Linked DNA regions of Oryzias latipes. The protein of the gene in region 1 interacts with the protein of each later gene in a biochemical or structural test. Links are inferred from orthologs where the notes say so. Each region holds a gene or a part of one and is shown in the gene's direction. Other genes may lie near its edges. The genes, in order: fcho2 and dab2.

The links.
Region 2: the proteins of fcho2 (region 1) and dab2 form a complex in vitro, tested with the Homo sapiens proteins (2 studies listed by BioGRID). The link is inferred for Oryzias latipes from reciprocal best matches to the Homo sapiens genes FCHO2 and DAB2.

The regions. Positions count from the first base shown.
Region 1 is NC_019870.2:5,364,230-5,373,251, forward strand, and holds the end of fcho2 (F-BAR domain only protein 2), read left to right. Parts: intron 1-120; coding exon 121-232; intron 233-3,171; coding exon 3,172-3,327; intron 3,328-3,893; coding exon 3,894-4,026; intron 4,027-5,533; coding exon 5,534-5,733; intron 5,734-5,816; coding exon 5,817-5,881; intron 5,882-5,966; coding exon 5,967-6,131; intron 6,132-6,212; coding exon 6,213-6,235; 3' UTR 6,236-8,057; downstream 8,058-9,022. UniProt on the Homo sapiens protein: Functions in an early step of clathrin-mediated endocytosis. Has both a membrane binding/bending activity and the ability to recruit proteins essential to the formation of functional clathrin-coated pits.
Region 2 is NC_019870.2:5,119,136-5,127,832, reverse strand, and holds the end of dab2 (disabled homolog 2), read left to right. Parts: intron 1-392; exon of another isoform or gene 393-412; intron 413-945; 5' UTR 946-1,060; coding exon 1,061-1,199; intron 1,200-3,075; coding exon 3,076-3,215; intron 3,216-3,279; coding exon 3,280-3,378; intron 3,379-3,454; coding exon 3,455-3,586; intron 3,587-3,664; coding exon 3,665-3,748; intron 3,749-3,955; coding exon 3,956-3,982; intron 3,983-4,052; coding exon 4,053-4,103; intron 4,104-4,800; coding exon 4,801-4,863; intron 4,864-5,572; coding exon 5,573-6,139; intron 6,140-6,519; coding exon 6,520-6,649; intron 6,650-6,729; coding exon 6,730-7,341; intron 7,342-7,416; coding exon 7,417-7,604; intron 7,605-7,700; coding exon 7,701-7,754; 3' UTR 7,755-7,770; intron 7,771-7,844; 3' UTR 7,845-8,087; downstream 8,088-8,697. UniProt on the Homo sapiens protein: Adapter protein that functions as a clathrin-associated sorting protein (CLASP) required for clathrin-mediated endocytosis of selected cargo proteins.

The DNA.
Region 1 (9,022 bases):
GACCTCGTCTGATGAAATGCCATAAAGATGTAAACCATCTTTTGCATGCTTCTAATCCTGACTGCTCTGTTTGTTTTTCAATCTGCAGCTGGGTCAAACCCATGTTTTTTTCATTCTCAGGAACGTCTCGCGGTCCCAGCCCTGTGACCCTGGCATCCCAAGATGCCTTGCCCATTGCCGTGGCCTTCACAGAGTCAGTTAATGCCTACTTCAAAGGAGCTGATCCCACTAAGTGAGTCTCACGTGACAACCCAAAGACCGCAACTTTATTTTCTATACCTCCAGTGTCACTGCGGAGTTTCACAGTCCAGCTTGCAGCAGGGAGACAGTTCTACCCCGCTCGTTCTGCATGCGTGTAACGTTCTGCGCGAGTCTGGCACCGTTCTTTCAGAAGGGATTACCTGCATGAGCAGATTCCGAGTCAGATTCCACATCAGAGAAAAACATACAGTCTTTTATTGGTTAACTGCCGCTAAATTGCTGCTGTGCAAAAAGGCTTATTTTTGCAGGAGATTAGCAAATGGAATTTTTTTTATATAAGTTATGCAGCCAAAGCCCTGTGCGAGTTCAAGACCAGCAGAGGGGAGCAAACACCCCAGCCAAGACACCCCCTCCCCAGTGTCCCCCAATATTATCCAGTCCTCTCATGCAGTTGCAGAAGCGCCACAAGAACTATACCATCCCTACACACATAGAATAAGTAATAAACTATATTTATAATTATTTTTATTCAGAAAAGGAAAATGCATTTTTTACTCTACAACAAAATCCTGATGATAAAAAGATGAATCATTTTCAAGCCTACACCAACACCTGTGAACGAGTCAAAAAGTTACTTGAAGTCGGAATAAATCTATTAACAATTCTGGTTTTTGACTTTAAACAGCAGTTTATGTTGGAAAAATCCTGCAAAGGATTATTTTTACTTTAATACCAATTACAGTGGTCTGTCGCTACATCGCAGTTCACCTTATCGTGGTCTCACTTTTTTGCAGAATTAAAAAAATATATATATATTTTATACTTTAACAACAAACTGGGTTCTGCTTCCTGATTGGCTGTTGACTTTGTCACCTATTATCCTCCATGCTGTGTCTCCTGTACAGGAGTGCCTTCAGGTTGCCAAATCTACATAAATATTTGATGGCGTTCAGATCTTTGTTTTCATTCTAAAATACTGGACTTATTTCTCCATGAAGGTTGAAACTTTGAGCATTTGTAACAAGAGAGAAAAGTGAAATTGTCCATGTTTGTCTGAGTAAAGGGTATAAAGTGCGTAGTGAGGAGTTTTATAGGCTTAAAATATCTATAATTATACTTTGCGAATTTCACCTTTTGCAGGCAACATAATTCACGCAATAAATGAGAGAAGACTGTAACACCAACGTTTTAGTAGATCTTTTAAAACTCCTTTTATAACTAAAATGTATAAAAATGATCAAACTGGACAGTAGATAAATCAGCACATTGTGGAAAATTTGCAGTGACTGTGTTTACGTGCCCAGCATAGTGGTTTTTAGCTCTCCAAGACGCTCAGGACAGTTGGACAAAAGCAAAACTGAAGATACAAATGCCTTAAAAACTTTGTCTGCGGATGAAAAGTCATAAAACCGTCAGGAAACACAGGAAGTGCTTCCTGCAAATGCTTGTTTCCATTGCAAACTAGGTGTTTAACTATTAACATGTTTCAGATAAATGAAATCATTCTATAAATTTCAGGAATAAGATAAAGGTGATTAAAGAGTTTGTTTGCATGATAATGTCTTAAGATATGAACTTAATCAGGATGTAATGGAAATATTGCTGTGGACATCGGTTTTGTTCAGTTGTACCATTTTTGTGTTACATTAAAATGTATTTATCCTTCCAGGGTGAACACAAGTTAGTTTTTGGTTCTCTGTTACCGTGTGCAGCCGCTGGATTCCTATGAGACAGTTCTGATGGTGCTTTGTGCTTTAGAGCAGTGGTCCCCAACATCCAGGCTGCAGACCGGTACCGGTCCATGGGGAAGTTGGTACCAGCTGCATAGAAAAAAAACACAAGCCACATTTTTTTCTGTTTTATTTATAAACTGAAAGAAGTTGTGTTTTAGAAAACTACTGGATTCTCTTCACCACATCCGACCCAATAATGACAAATTCCAAGTCGCTCTTGTTGAAAATCCATCCGCTACTTTCTTAAAGCGGCAGCACCGTCAGCAAAACTGAAATCCCCAAGCCAGCAAAGTTAATGAAAAAACATATTTGGAAATATTTTTTTGTGGCAGAAGAGTCAGTGAGGAAACGGACGAAGAGCCTTCAACTTCAAAATAAAAGAAAACTACATCTTTTGCAAACAGAAACCAGGAGTATTGACTCCAAAATTGTATTTATTGAGACAACAATAATAATGCATAATCTTCAGCAACCGGCTGTCTAATAAGATAAGATAAAGACACTTTATTGATCCCAGACCGGGAAAATGTGTTGTTGCACTGACCGTGTACAGGCTCAGTACAAACAAACAAACAGTGAGTATCTAATTTTACGAGAATTCTGCCAATAAATTTGTTCAAATGGTGGATGCATGATTCATATTCTATTTAGAAAACACCACTTCCAGTGACTGTTTTTTCGCACCTTAAAAGTCGGACAAGATTAAAGTTGGCGTGTGATTTTGTAGCTTTTACTTTGATAGTTATGCATTAAGGGACAATGTGGATCACATTTTAATGGTGCTTTCATAAAATCTAGAGAACAAGTTTAAACAGATGTTTTACAGAGGATGAAGACTGCCTTAAAAGGCAAGGGAAACTGGAGGCTAAAAAGAAATCGAACCCCAACTTCAGCCTTGTTCAGACCACTCCATGAATATGTCGTCTGACATTATATAGGTCCGGTAGCGCAGTGGTCTTTCGCCTTATAGCAAGAACGTCCTGGTTTGAATCCCAGTTGGGACCTTTCTATTTGGAGTTTGCTTGTTGGTGAACCCTGCCTTTACCCAACAGTAGCTGGAACAGGCTCTGGCAACCCTGTGACCCCAAAAGGGATATAGCAGGTTAAGAAAATGGATGGAGGGATGGGTTAAACTGGTCTGTAGCCTTAGGTAGGGAACCACTGCCTTAGAGAACTTTTGTTCACTTTTGCAGTAATTCTGTAAATCAGGGGATTTTACCTGGTGGTTTCTCCACAGGTGCATTGTGAAGATCACAGGAGACATGACGCTCTCATTCCCTATGGGCATCATCAAAGTCTTCACGTCCAACCCGTCCCCCGCTGTCCTCACCTTCAAACTGAAGAATGCCAGCAGGCTGGAGCAGATCCTCCCCAACGTGCAGCTACTCCACAGGTGAGGATCCCCCAAAACGCTCTGGTCAAAGACAGACTTGAGCTGGAAGGAAGTGGCCTCTGCGTCACTGGAGGGTAATTCAATTATCACGAGGACATAAAGCTGTCATTAGGCCGTCAGAGAAGTATTCTCCCGCAGACGTTCAGGTTCTCAGCTGCTCGTGTCTCTTCTGAAGGAAACACTTCATTAAACTGCAGCTTCATTCAGCACCAGACTCATCCAACACTTTATTGCCTTTCTCACCTCGTTTGTTGGAGCACAACGTATTGAATGTGTATTTTACCTCACAGTCAGCCCAGCTTTCAGTAAGGTGCTAAATATGTAAGGCCGGCTGTTTTTGCCACTAGAGAAAGTCATAAAGAAACTACATCTTTATTTGCTCTTCGCTCTGGTTCCTCCCGACCACATGGCAAGGCTAATCAAATCAACCGAAGTTCACGATTTAGTAGCTGCTTGGATATAACAGCCTCATATTTTCCAAGCTGTTGGAGCTTCACACACAAAGCTATAGCGATTGATTGAGCTTCTGATTATTCCTTGTGTGTGTGTGTTTGGCTTTTGTCCAGTGACCCTTCCCAAAGTGATTCAGACTCCAAGAGTTTCTGGTTCAACATGCAAGCACTGACAACCTACCTCAGAAAAGCCTCCGAGCAGAACCCTTCAGCTTCTTACTACAACGTGGACATCCTGAAATACCAGGTGAGAAGTTTTTGTTATCTGAGCCTCTTAAAAGAAGAAATACGACTGCGTTGAATATGATTCTGATTAGGTTGCCATATTTCATCTGCACTGTTTTTGCTGGAGTGAGCGTTCACCTTCAGTGCTCTGATATCCTCTTTCTTTTGGAAGTAAACCATCATCCACAGACTTACACGGCTTCATTGGGGTTTTTATGTTTGGCTGTTTATCTCAATAAATTAAAACTAATGTTTCATTCTGGTCCAACATTCATGGTTTGCCTGAAACAACGTCCCGTTCAGAAATTCAACAATAGTTTCACTCTACAGCTCTGTAAGTCAACACGAAAATGTGTTAAATGTTGTTTATATGTGCTCCACAAAAAAAAAACAAAGATTTTATATTTTTAAAATCATGTTAGCAGGTTAACTTTTGAGAACCCACAAAATTTAATTTGGCCGCTGTTTTGTTTTTTCGTTTTTTTTTTTTTTTTACATTTATTATGTAGGTTGATCTTCATTGCTGCTACCCAAAATAAAAGAACAAAAAAATAATCAAATTACCTTAAAGCGCCTAAAAAGTAGTTTTTGGGTTCTCCAGGGTTAACCCCCCCCCCGATCATCTTTTTATCTATTGTAAAAGCGTTCCCAGGGTCTTGTAATAATGATTATGCCATTTTTCCAAACACCTGTAAATGGTAGATGGCGTATACTTATATAGCGCTTTTCTACCTACAAGGACAAAGCGCTTTACAGTCACAGTCCCAGTCACACACACATTCACACACTCATTCACATTCACTGGTGGCGGCTCCGCTGCCAAACACAGGCGCCAACCTACCACCAGAGGCAATTAGGGGTTCAGTGTCTTGCCCAAGGACACTTCGACTCATGGGCGTGCAAGGCGGGAATCGAACCTGCAATCTTACGATCGTGGGTCGACGGCCCTACCGCTGCCCCATCAGTCGTTTTCTAGGTCATAGTTTCTGCAGAGCAGCAGGAGTTTGTTAGAAATTCACCTTTTAATGGTCTTACATACAGTTATGGCATGGAGGACATGGATGATGTTGAGAGATCAGGTTTATTTATTTTGGAGAGCTCTAAAAAAGCGTCAGTAATTGCATCTCCATGGATTCATGAGACTCACCAGTACGGTGAGGTTCAGCATCTACTGCAGGAGCTGTGTCTGCATAACAGACGCTTTCAGCTGTGCTTCTGGCTTTCTTTGACCCAGTTTGATGACTGACTGTTCCGCATTAATCTAAAGAGGGAAAAAAATACAAATAAGAACAAGATTAGAGGAGTTTTTTGTTATTAATAAGAACAATATCATAAAGTTCAGGAGGATAACAGTCAGATTCTCCTCCATGTTGGTCTTGGACTCCACCCACTGACACCCTCAGCGCGTCCCGGGCCAAAGCCGAGTCCCTCATTTATGAATCCCAGTGATTGAAGTGCAGGGTTTCTGCGTTACAAGTTAAACTTTATTAGTCACAGAAAAACTAGACATTTCATGTTGCTGCATTCAGGTGCAGTCTGACGGAATCCATTCCACCCCGCTCAACCTGGCCGTCTACTGGAAGTGCACACCAAGCACAACAGACCTGCGGGTGGATTACCGCTACAACCCAGAATCCATGGACTCCCCAGGCTCGCTCACCAACCTGCAGGTCTTGGTCCCTGTAGACGGAGGAGTCACCAGCGTGCAATCTCTGCCCAACTCCATATGGTGAGACGCGCATGTGGACATACCAGAACGTCTTCCTTTTGCTGAACCCTCTAAGCTTCAACTGTACCACCTTATTATTTCAGGAGTTCAGAGCAGAATAAGTGTCTCTGGAAACTAAGCGACCTCTCCAGTAAATCAGAAAACGAAGGTGTGAGCTCATTCAAACTTTAACAAGAGTGTTTTAAACAAGAGTTGTCCAGTTTCCTCACCCCTTTTACATGTCCGTCCCTCAGGTGCGGGGTCTATAAGGGCTAAATTTGATCTCTCACATGGGCCGTCCAACCCGTCCACTCTGGCAGTGCAGTTCATGAGCGAGGGCGCCACCCTGTCTGGAGTGGACATGGAGCTGCTGGGCTCTGGATACAGGCTTTCCCTCAGCAAGAAAAGATTTGCCACCGGTTAGTCGCATTCTTCCACACTGCTGATGGTCCATGTAGACCGCCACGTCTCAAAAAGAAATCATCTGTCTGTCTCCTCAGGGCGTTACATGGCGGACTGCTGAGGTAACCGGAAAGAAAAGCCCTTATTTGACAGAAAACTTGGGGGAATGGAGCTGCGGCGGTTCACACAGGAAGCGAGAATCTCACTACATAAGGCAGCACTGAGTATTGAACACTGTTGAAAAAAAAAAGAATAAAAGAAAACTTAAGATGCGCTTTCAGGAAACGTGTAGATATAAAGTCTAATAGTTCTGATCTATTCCTTTTTGTACAGGAAAGAAAGGATTTATTGACTAGCTATAAATCTTTATTGTATTTGAAATCATAAAACAAGAAAAAAAAGTGCACTAATAATCCTCCAAATACCTTTTTTCCCTCTTCTCTGAGAAGAAAAAACATTTTTTCCCTCCTAACTGTAAATAACACCCCAGACCTGCTTTCTTTACTGATGTTTGTGTTTTTCTCTGTCTGTGTCAATTATGTGCAATGAAGCGATGAAGGTGGAATCCGTCTTTTACATTACTCACATCAGTCTGACCTTTAAAACAATATTGGAGTGCAAAAAAAAAAAAAAAAAAATCTGACATCAGTGCCTTCTCTTCTACTATAAACAAAAGGCAAAAAAGTAATTAGTTTTTTCTGAACAATCACCTTTTCTGGATTCTGATCAGTTTTTCTTAAAACCCTCTAGAGTTGGATTGTTTAGGGGTCAAACATCCAGGGACATTTGCACCAAATTGAACTTTTAACCACCCTTCTGTGTGCTGTAAATGATAATTGTACCTAAATTTTATACGTTTTTTGTGCACCGCAGCGCAGTTAACAACGGCGGCACCAACGTGCCCCGATTGTGTTTTTTTACTTCTAATACTTGGATGTTGAAGGGAACGCGTCTCATCTTCCAGAAGTGAAATGGCGATGGATCTGCGATTGTTTGCTGTCACCGTCTGCCTCACGGCGTTGGCTCAGAGCGTCTCAGTGGGATTAAAAAAACGCCTCATCCGGACCTCTCCTGTGGTTAGAAACTCTGCCGTTAAAGTTGGGCTGGATCACTCACCTCTCTTGCCTTTTGCACCAGTGCATGCTGGGATTTTCTTCAGCAGGTTTTGCAAAGCAAAAAATGTGGTCACTTTTGACTCTTGGTGCTTCTCTCTTGTCTTTTTTTAATGAAGGGCTGCTTCTGCAGAGGCTGATTTATATCTTTTGGAGGCAAAATCCATTAGTAGGTGGCCCTGTGGCACTTTTTGTTGTTGCATAAATTGTCTAAAAACTGTGATTCCAAATTGCTGAAACCTTTTTAGGAGAGGAGTTTAATACAATAATCATTTAACCTGAAGCAACCCTCCAATAGAATAGTAGAAAAAGTTCCTATTTTTAATTAGGTGTCGACAAAAGAAACCGCTTATTAGATGTTGGAAGGCATTTGAAACCTTTATTTTGGTCACAAATTTATCTTCAAAAATGTACAATTTCTTTTCCATTTTCTCTGCCTCTGAATTTTTTAAAATACTTTAAAAAAATCAGTCTAAGAAAGATCTAACATTGTTTACTTAATGGAAAGCATTCTGTTTATTGCTTCTTTTTCTCCAAAAAGATGAGCACATTTTAAAAATGGCTGTGTAGACCCTAGAACTGTTCAGTATTAGCAAGCTGGTTCTTGCTGACCCGATACAACTTTAAGATTATCCTTTAAAAAAAGCTCTTTCTAAATTCAGCTTCTCTCTTTTCTATTTGTTGTATTAAACAACTAAAAAAACAACATTGTGTAAGATGATTCTCACCTTTTTCCTTATATTTCAGTCACTTTTTGTCTATTTTATGATTTCTTATCGTCTGTATTAAATGTGTAATATATGGATATATACAAATATATGAAAATGACTACTTGGAGTGTGTTTTTTGTTGCCACCCTATACGTTATGATTACTTTTATTTTCATTCTACATCATAAAGAAAATTGAAAGCTGTAGGTAAAATAAAAATATAGCAAAACACAAACTTAATATTAAACAATAGTTTATCAAAGTCCTTTCAGTTTCAGTAAAAACAGGTTATTTTAAAGATAATTAGATTTATCGGATTTGATTTTTTTTATTTTACACACACTTATAGACCCACATACACATAGAAATTATTCTATTATAATTACTCTAAATCTGAAATGCACATATTGTCACTTTACATTTGATACATGACACATTTAAAACCATTAAATATTAAGTGTCATAAGTAATTTAATTAATTACCTGAAAAGGAGTAGAAGGAAGCTAATTTATAAAATCCAGCCCCTAATTTGCTTTACCTAACAATTGAGTTTTAAATTATTATTATCTGCTTTTTAACTTCTGATCAGATATTTATAGTTTTTTCACAATAACAAGTGCTGATCATTTAAACAATCCATAAGGTTTGATCAAATCAAAGGACAAAGATGAGGTGCATAGTGCTTAGAGTTAGAGATATTCTTTATTGATCCCACATTGGGGAAATTCAATTGCTACAGCAGTTCAGTGCAAAAAAAAAGAGAAAGAAAAAAGAAGAGAAGAACAACAGCAATGTGCAAAAGAATGAAGGGTGTTCAACATGCGCAAAAATACAAATACAAAATGTGCAAAAAAAATAAATTTGTCATTAGAAATTAATTTGTTGCAATATTTAAGAAATTCTTGTCACTAATCACACAACAGGTAATCATCAGGAATCATTGTTTCAAATCAGGCCACAAGGTGGGGGGTATATTGATATGATCTGAAAATAACACCTGCTTTATTATCATTAAAATTCAATTTATTAATAATAGTCTTACTATTTTGGTCAAAATCAGTGTTCTTGTCTCGGCTTAACCAGGT
Region 2 (8,697 bases), about 240 kb from region 1:
ACATGTAATTAAAAAGTTGATTTACTTAGAAAATAAGCACAGATGAGTAAAAAGTAAGACATTTATTGCTTTATAGTCCAGCAGGAACTTGTGAGTGTCCAGCTCAGGTGTTGCTTATACAGGTAATTAAACCCCAGCTGCTCTGCTCTGACCAAATTCTTTCATTTTGGGTAGTGTTTTCTTTTGAGACAGACTTTTCATCCTTCTGCTGATTTAACTTTATATATATATAATTACTGTTGATTTTCATTTCTACTCCTGAGCATCACGAGATCCTCTCACCGCTTAGGGTAAAATTAACTCCAGGTAATTGCTCAACCTTTGCTCATTCCCAACCTTTGGTCTGCTGCTGTGCTCCAGCTCTTTACATTACTGTTGTGGTTGCTGTAGTGTCTGCAGCCCCTCGGAAAAGGTAGGAGCTCCTGCTGCTGTTTCGGTCAAATTTGAGTAGTTTTTGGTTGTTCTATTTTGATTTGGCTGAATGCACCTTTTAGTTTGGGATCCCAAACGGACTTATTAGGGCTTTAAATATGGTGGTAATCTACTAAAAATATAATTTAAACTATAAACAAGAGTATTTGTGGAGTGAGTGCTTAAATGTTAATTTCCCTTGGAGTGTCAGGGTGCAACCAGCAGGGCTTTTTATGGATGTGAGGTTTGGTTATGCTGACAGATTTCGGAAGAAGTGACTTGAGCGTGTCATCCTGAGGATGTTTCACTACTTTAAAGTCAAACTGCTGACACAGCTTCTTTTTTTTTTTTTTAAAGAGTGGAATGAGTTTGGATCTCATGAGTGTGATGTTTTATTGGTCATGTGTCTTGTTCTGGTGCTGTAAACCTTTACTGGTGGGGATGAAGATTTTCTGCCTATTGTGTGCAAATAAAAAAGAAATCCTCTAGGAAATCAGTTTTTAACGTCAAAAATATCTACCTGTGTCGTTTTAGGCGGAGAGGCATGCGCGGGTGTTGAAGGCCTCATTTTCCCTTCATCGCCTGCTCCCTCCAACCCGGAGCTGCTGTTTGCTTTACCCCAGGTTGTCACTCGTTCGAGTCCCCCGCCATGTCTGCAGAGGTGGAAACCAGCGCGCCCGCAACTGTCGATCCAAGCTCCCAGACTGCGGACTCGACCCCCGGGACCCCACCCACGTCCCCCAGCACGGCCACATCCAGGGTCCCGTTCAAGAGGGAAAAGAAGAAAAGTGAGTTATGAATCTGAATCGTTTTCTTATTTTATTGTTTTGTGTCACTTGTCTGCTCTGATTGGACCCCTTCTCCACCCTTGGAAAGCTCCACCCACTTTCTGAATTAACCATCGTTGGTCTCTCTTTGGCTCAAATGTCAGCTGGAACAGTTCGTACATTTTCAGAAAACTTGTTTGATTAACTTTTCTGAAAATGTACGAACTTTAAGGCAGCAGTTTTTGTTCTTCAGTACTTCAAGGACGAGTGTCAGCTGACAGTTGAGAGGATATAAAACTGTCAAAAGGAAACTTTAGTTTTTTTTTTAAATCTCTTCACTACTGCACAAGTATATGGCTTTACGTCCATGTTAATGCTTGGCTGTTGCATAATCTGGAGTAAATGGCCTTTGCTAATGAATCTAAAAGCAGAAGGTCAAGTTTTGGGGGCTAAAGCTAAACTTAAAGCCAAAAGCTTCATGCCTCCATTGTTCTCAAAGCAAAATACAGTCTTATGTTTTTAACAAGGGTGGCAAAATTTATCCATGCATTTTAAATAGTCCTCTTATTTTAATATATGAAGTTATAATACTTGAAGGAAGTCTCTTAATGGTTTAGTAAGGTTCCTAAAATTTTGTTTTTTACCTTTTCACATGATGGGCTGCCCTCCTTTCAGGTTGGGGCATTTCTGGGGTTCACTTTACGTCAAACCGTTAGATTAACAGTAATAATGTGGTCGGTGGCATGCTAAATAATACATTTTGGTAGCCATATGATTTTTTTTTCTTCCGAAATGTATTGTTTAATTAAATTTAAATAGAATCTTCAGCTTAAGCCAATAATCATTTTCCCCCTGTTTGTATTTTTCTTCTTACCTAACTTATTTGTTTTTCTGCACCCTTGGGTTTTTACAAATACATCAAGTAGAAAAGAACAAATCTTTGATTTCCACAAAGGGGAAGTTACTTTGTTGCTTAATTACAAACGGCAAATGGATAACAGGACCGAAAATGCACCAATAAAAAAAAAAAGACAAACATCTGAGGCATTGTTGTCTAATGGCTGAAGGTAAAAGATCTGCAAATGTGCTCCTTCCTTCAGCGAGGTGTTAAAATCTCTGACAGAAAGCTCCTTAGTGCATCCCAGTCTCATGCAGAGGAGGAAGAAGAGGGTTGTTCCTCATGTTTTGTATTTTCCCTAACATCCTCCTCTCACCCACCACAGTTACAGACTCGAAGGGACATCCCAATAGGTAGTCACACCTCCACAGCCCTGCACTTGTTACCATCTGATAAATCTCGATAGGCTCCAAAGTCAGCAATACATAAAAGCAAGGAAATGGACTGATCATATAAGACAAAAACTAGAGTTGTGCACAAAAGCAAGGCTTTTTTTTTTAAAGAGTAATCTTATAAGTCACGATGAAGCTGCATCCTTGAAAATCTCTTTAGTCTTTTTTTGTTATTAAAAACTGTCAATATATTTTGAGAGGAAATTGTGTATAAATGTAAAAATGCCTAAAATCCAAACATGGAAATTTTTCCAATTTATTTAGATAAGTGTATGTATTCTGGACAGTAAACTCAGTTTTTTCACAGAAATAATTGCATTCCGTCTTAACCTTTTGTCTCGACCAGCTCAATAATAACGAGGCAACTTGTGGTTTGCTTCCGTTTCAATAAAGCCGGCATTCTCCAGGAAGTCCCGTCTGCTCTGAATATGAAGCTGCTAGTCAGCCTTTGATTTCACATGGAGCTGCTGGCCATGCATCAAAAAATGTAAAAAAAAAAGTTGCTGACTGGATAATACAATAGTTGAGCTGCAGTTTGGTCTCTATCCTTATAGAGTAGATTTTTGAACACAAGTCTTACTCTGTGGATCCCTGAAATTTTCCGTAGCTCCAGAGAAGACAGACGATTACCTGCTGAGCAGGTTTCAGGGAGATGGGGTGAGGTACAAGGCCAAGCTGATCGGCATCGACGACGTTCCAGAGGCCCGAGGAGACAAGATGTGCCAAGATTCCATGATGAAACTGAAGGTAAAGCTGGAATTTTGCTGTGATCTTCTATGAAAACGATTTGAATTTGTTTGCTTGCCTGCAGGGAATGGCAGTAGCTGCTCGGTCTCAGGGCAAACATAAACAGAGGATCTGGGTCAACATCTCAATGTCTGGTCTAAAGATCATTGATGAGAAATCAGGAGTAAGTCCCACTGACTTCCAGCCTTAAGGGCTTCATGTCTTCGTGCTTATTTGGTGTTTTCCTCTTTTCTTTCCAGGTGATCGAGCATGAGCATGCGGTGAATAAGATCTCCTTCATTGCCAGAGATGTGACGGACAACAGGGCTTTTGGATACGTGTGTGGAGCAGAGGGTCAGCATCAGTTCTTCGCCATAAAGACCGCGCAACAGGTAAGGCTCAGAAGTTCACAGATTAAAAGAAAACTGCAAAAATGAAGCAACTTTTTACTTTTTTTTTCTTTTTTGCAGGCGGAGCCTTTGGTCATCGACCTGAAAGACCTTTTCCAGGTGATCTTTAACGTGAAGAAAAAAGAAGCAGAGTCTTCGCAGAAGGTAACGTCTGCGTTCAGATGGCAGTTTTTTTTTCTCCTTAAAGAAAAGCCTTGCATGTGTTGGACAGGAAATGCTCTCTTTGAAAGTCAACACTGCCTCTCTGTGTTCCTGCAGTGAATCACATCCTCCAGACATTCCACTCCAATGACGTGTTTGTGTGTGTGTGTGTTTAAGAAAACCGCCTTAACAGTATGCTTCTGTTTTCAGGGTGAAAACGGCAGCGTTGTAGTCGAGGTAAGCTCTTGAATTTTGTTCTTCTTCAGACATTGTTTGTTTCAACTCCTAACTTTTTTTATTTTTTTAGAATGGAGGTGATGCCTTGATGGGTGTAGACAATGGAGTAAAAACTGCTCAGGTGAGTTGTTTATTTTTATTTTTTTCAGCTAAAAGATGCACTCCAATGTAAATCATGTCTTTTAATATGTTGTGTTTTTCTGATAATGGAGGACATATGTAAAGAAAATTAAGCCTTAAATTACATTTCTGTATGTTTCTGTATTCTTATTGTTGTGAATCAGGAACAGACAAAACACAGATTGAACTACAGATTGTAGTTTTTGCATAGGAACTATGCTGGGTGGACCACAAGCTCCCTGCTCTGCTCTATTCGGATGCAGCCGCCTGTAGACGAATAGATCCATGTACATCTTTGTTTTCCTTGTCTGAGATGGCATCTGGCTTAAAACTGTACAGCTGGATGGCTCCGATTTTGCTCACCATTTTGCTGCACTGTTAATGTTAGGTTGGGGGGTGTGAGGGGCTGTAAGCTAGCAGGAGAGAGTTTAAACAGGAGTCTCAGCCAAAAGGAGGGGGGCAATAGTCCTGCCCATAACTCTGAGATTAATTTCTAATGAACTCCTGCTACTCTGCAGAAACGGTCCTAGAAAACGTCAGGTCTTTTAATTTTGGCTAAAACATAATCATAATTAAAAGGCTACTGAGAACGGATTGAAAGTTGATCAAAAGATGATCGGAGTGGGACTTCAACAATAAATATGTATTAATGAAATTGAATTCAAAAACAAATTGAACTTTTTTTGGTTGAAATTTAGCCAGTAGAGCAGCTGGATCTCTTTGGAGACATGTCGACTCCTCCAGACGTCCAGGCTCCCAATGTAAGTTCAGACACATATTTTTAAATTTCATTACCTTTTCTTTGTTTTTTTTTATTTTAATTTTTTTTAATTTTTATTGTATCAAGACAGACTTACCCAAATAATTCTACAAGTGTTTTCTAGATGTGTAAACAAACAAAAAAAATTCTGTTTTTCTTTTCTTTTTTTCTGCCATTTCTGTTCAGGATTTTTCTTGTAATTTTTGTTCTATAAAAATAATTTATCAAAGTCAAAAAATCAAATGCTTTCTTCAGATTTGTGTTCATTTCAGTTCAAAGCTGTTCCATGTAGAATATTTGCTAAATTCAGTCAAATTAAATCATTTAAACCAGTGGGGTCCAAAAAGTGACCAAACTGCAAAAAAAATAAATCCTAAATTAAAATTTTCCACAACGAAGTCTTGGTTTAAGAAAACATGTCTTAGTGACATATTTTTCTTCTTAAAATTAATTTTGGTAAACTATTTTTTTCTTCCCACATTGTCAGACTTAATTATTTATGTAAGGAGAATTCTTAGAATTTTAAGAATTTTGATTTATTTCTAGGGTGGCTGTTTATTTTCCAAATTGGACTATGAGCTACATTTAAATGTTCTTCTACATGCAGCAGAACTTGAACAATCATTCCTTCTCCTCATCATGTGATTCATTGATTTTATAACATGATTGTCTGCAGAAGTGATTCATGAATCTTGTTTCATCTTAACCAGGACTCTAATGAAACGCTCTTGCTGGACTTTTCTGCTGAAGTTGACGACAATCAGAATTGCATAAAAGGAAATTCTTTTCTAGCCTTTGGCCTCGGCTCTGTGACGTCTCCCGATGCCAATCCCTTTTCTTCAAAGTTTGGTTACTTCCCCGCTCCTGACAGTGACCCTTTTAGAGATGACCCTCTCGCTAAATCGGCAGGTGACGCCCCCGTTTCCCCCAGTGACTATCTGAAACACCTCACTGGTGGCTCCACTAAGACTGTTTGTAACGGCGAGATGAACGGCGAGGCAGAAATTGGTCACCGAGGTATTGGGTTGTCTGGAAAAACCATTAGCCTTGCTCTTAACGATGGACAGTGGCCACTAGGCGGCAGCATAGCTCAAGGCAGTGGGATCACCTTGACAGACGGGAATGAGACCATTCTGTCAAACAAAAACCCATTTTCTGACCCGTCTCTGAAAACCTCCGTCTTAAACGGCGTAACTCCACGTCCGGAAGTGGATTCGGTTGTCCTGAGCCCGCCCCCGCAGAGCTCTAAGTCCGGACGAGGGCGACGGAATGCAAAGGTGAAACGACACGGTCAGATGGATCGCAAGTGGGGTTGCATGGGTTGAGCAAAAAAGCCTTTTTTTTTGTGGCACGAGGTGCACTAACATCCCGAGCTTTGGGTGGTGGACAGACTTTAGAAACTTCACACCTGCAGCTGAGGTTCTTTTGACACTTGTTGGTGCATGAACTGATGCTTCCACGCTTCTTTGCCTGAATTTCTGAAATGTCTCCTTCACTCATTTCTGCTCATCTGTCTTTCTAACCCTGATGCTTCAGTGATGAAAGCTCTGGTGAGTTGTGAGGCACGTTCTGACCACTTTGTTTTTCACAGCTTAGTTCTTCACGCTGGTTCTTGGGGGTGTAACTTGACCTAAAATGTTTAATATTTTCTGGTTAGTCGGGATCAAGTGACCTGTTTGGGACAGAACTCTTTACCACTCCTTCCCATTCTGAGGGTTCATCTGTCCCGGCTGACCTTTTCAACAACATGCCTGCAAATTCACCCCCCTCCACCATCGCTGCTCTGGGTAATCTATAAAACAATGTTGGCTTTTCTTCTCAGTCTGTGCCTTTTTTTTAAATTTAATCTTTTTATTCCCTTTTTCAGGAAATCTTCAGTTGGGCTTCCCTGCTACCACAACTGTCCATCCTGTTGGTATGTGGGGAGCCTCTCCTGCTGCGCCAGCCATGTTCCCCATGCCAGGGGTGGCCGCTCCGGGCCCCAGACCCAGTTTCATGCCGCAGCCTGCCTTTGGGCCTCCCATGGTGGCCCCGGCATGGCCTCAGCAGATGCCACCACAGTTCAATGCCCCACCCTTGTCTCCACCTCATCTCTCCTGGGGCCAACATGCCGCATCCAATCCCTTCCAACAGGGTGCTTTCCCAGCAATGGGAGACCAGGGAGGTCCAGCACGGCCCCCTCCGAGGGCCCCTGTCAAGCAAGCGCCTCCCAAAGTGGAGAACAGTGCCTTCACAGCTCTGGATCCTCTGGGAGATAAGGATAAGAAAACCGGAAAGGATATGTTTAAAGACTTCCAGCTGGCTAAACCTCCTGCCATCCCTGCAAGGAAAGGGGAGCTTGCTGCCAACGCTGCTGCACCCCCCAGCAGCAAAGATCCAGGGGCTTTTGATCAGTACTTTACCAGTAAAGTGGGGGTGGCTCAGGATGCAGCAGATCAAGACGACTTCGATATCAACCAGATTCCGTTAGCTAACAACGGTAAACTCTCTGAATCTTGACTTTACACTTTCCCGTGTTCGGCTATCGTTGACTGTGTCGTGTGTTTTTGTTTAGGTGCTTCCAAAGCCCCTCCTGCTCAAGCTGCTGCCCCGGCTCCGCTCTTTAACCCCGATCTCCTCGATTCTGCCTTCTCTTCTGTCGGGAACAGTTCAGCGCAGCCGGCGAGCGTCAACCAGGATATGTTTGATCAGGCATTCGGAGCTCCAAATTCTAATCCTTTTGGAGCGCCGCCCATAGCTGTGGTATAAAGAAACTGTTTTTTTTCTTCTTCTCCCCCAGTATGAAATGCTGATATGGAATAAAACTCATCTTCCCTCTGCTTCTTGTTTTTCTGCCAGAATTCTGCTTCAACTGATGCTTTTGGAGATGCATTTGGAAACCCTTTTGCTTGACCTCAAGTTTGACAGAGTATGTCTGGGTTTTTTTCTGTTCTCTTTATATTTTCTGTATTAAAACATTTAATTGACTTATTTTTTAAACAGATAAAAAGAATGAGACAAACATCGGAGATCTTCCCATCTAAGACCTTTTGATGACAAGCTGCTCTGTGCAAGACAATCCAAGAACGCCTCCTCTTTTCCCGACTCCCCTTTACTTTAGTTCTGTTGCCCACTGATTTAAAAAAGAAAAGTAAATGTCGTTATCTGCTGAAAGAAACGTGTGTAAAAGAAAATTTGTGGTTCCACTGCTGATGTTTGTTAAAGAAATAAATCATAATAATGCTACACGGTCTCAGATTTGTTTTTGGTCTGTCAGAAAAAGAAGTTTCAGCATACAGATATCAACATTTTAATTCTAGGATTTTACTTTATTTCTTTTTAATTGACTCTCAAATTGTAGTTATAATTACCTGGACTTTTCTTTTCCAAACGCTGATCTTCTGTGGATTTTAAATTGTACAGAACAATTTAAAAAAACTAATTTTAGGGGGACTATTTAAGATACTTGAGGGAAAGTTAATTTATCTTTTAACTATTTGTCTTTTAGATTTCCACATCCTATAGTCGTGTCCATGACATTGATTTGATTTATGGCTGGCAATAATTTAAGATGCCCTAATTTAAGATTTGTTTTGCTGTCCCAGTTCTTGATAATCCTATAAGGTTCAATGAATGAACTTTAAACCCAAAACTATACAGGTTTTGTAAATTTGAAATGGTAACAGGAAATATAGATATTATAGATGTTAAAAAAATGTGAGAAGCACTTATCAATTGTCTTAAATGATGCTGTTCTTTTAAATGTGTTTTGTCTTTGTTATTCGTTTGTATTGCTGAAGTTGCACTGATCTCGTAGACGTCAAAAATAGGATGTCCATTTTTGCTTTCATATAAC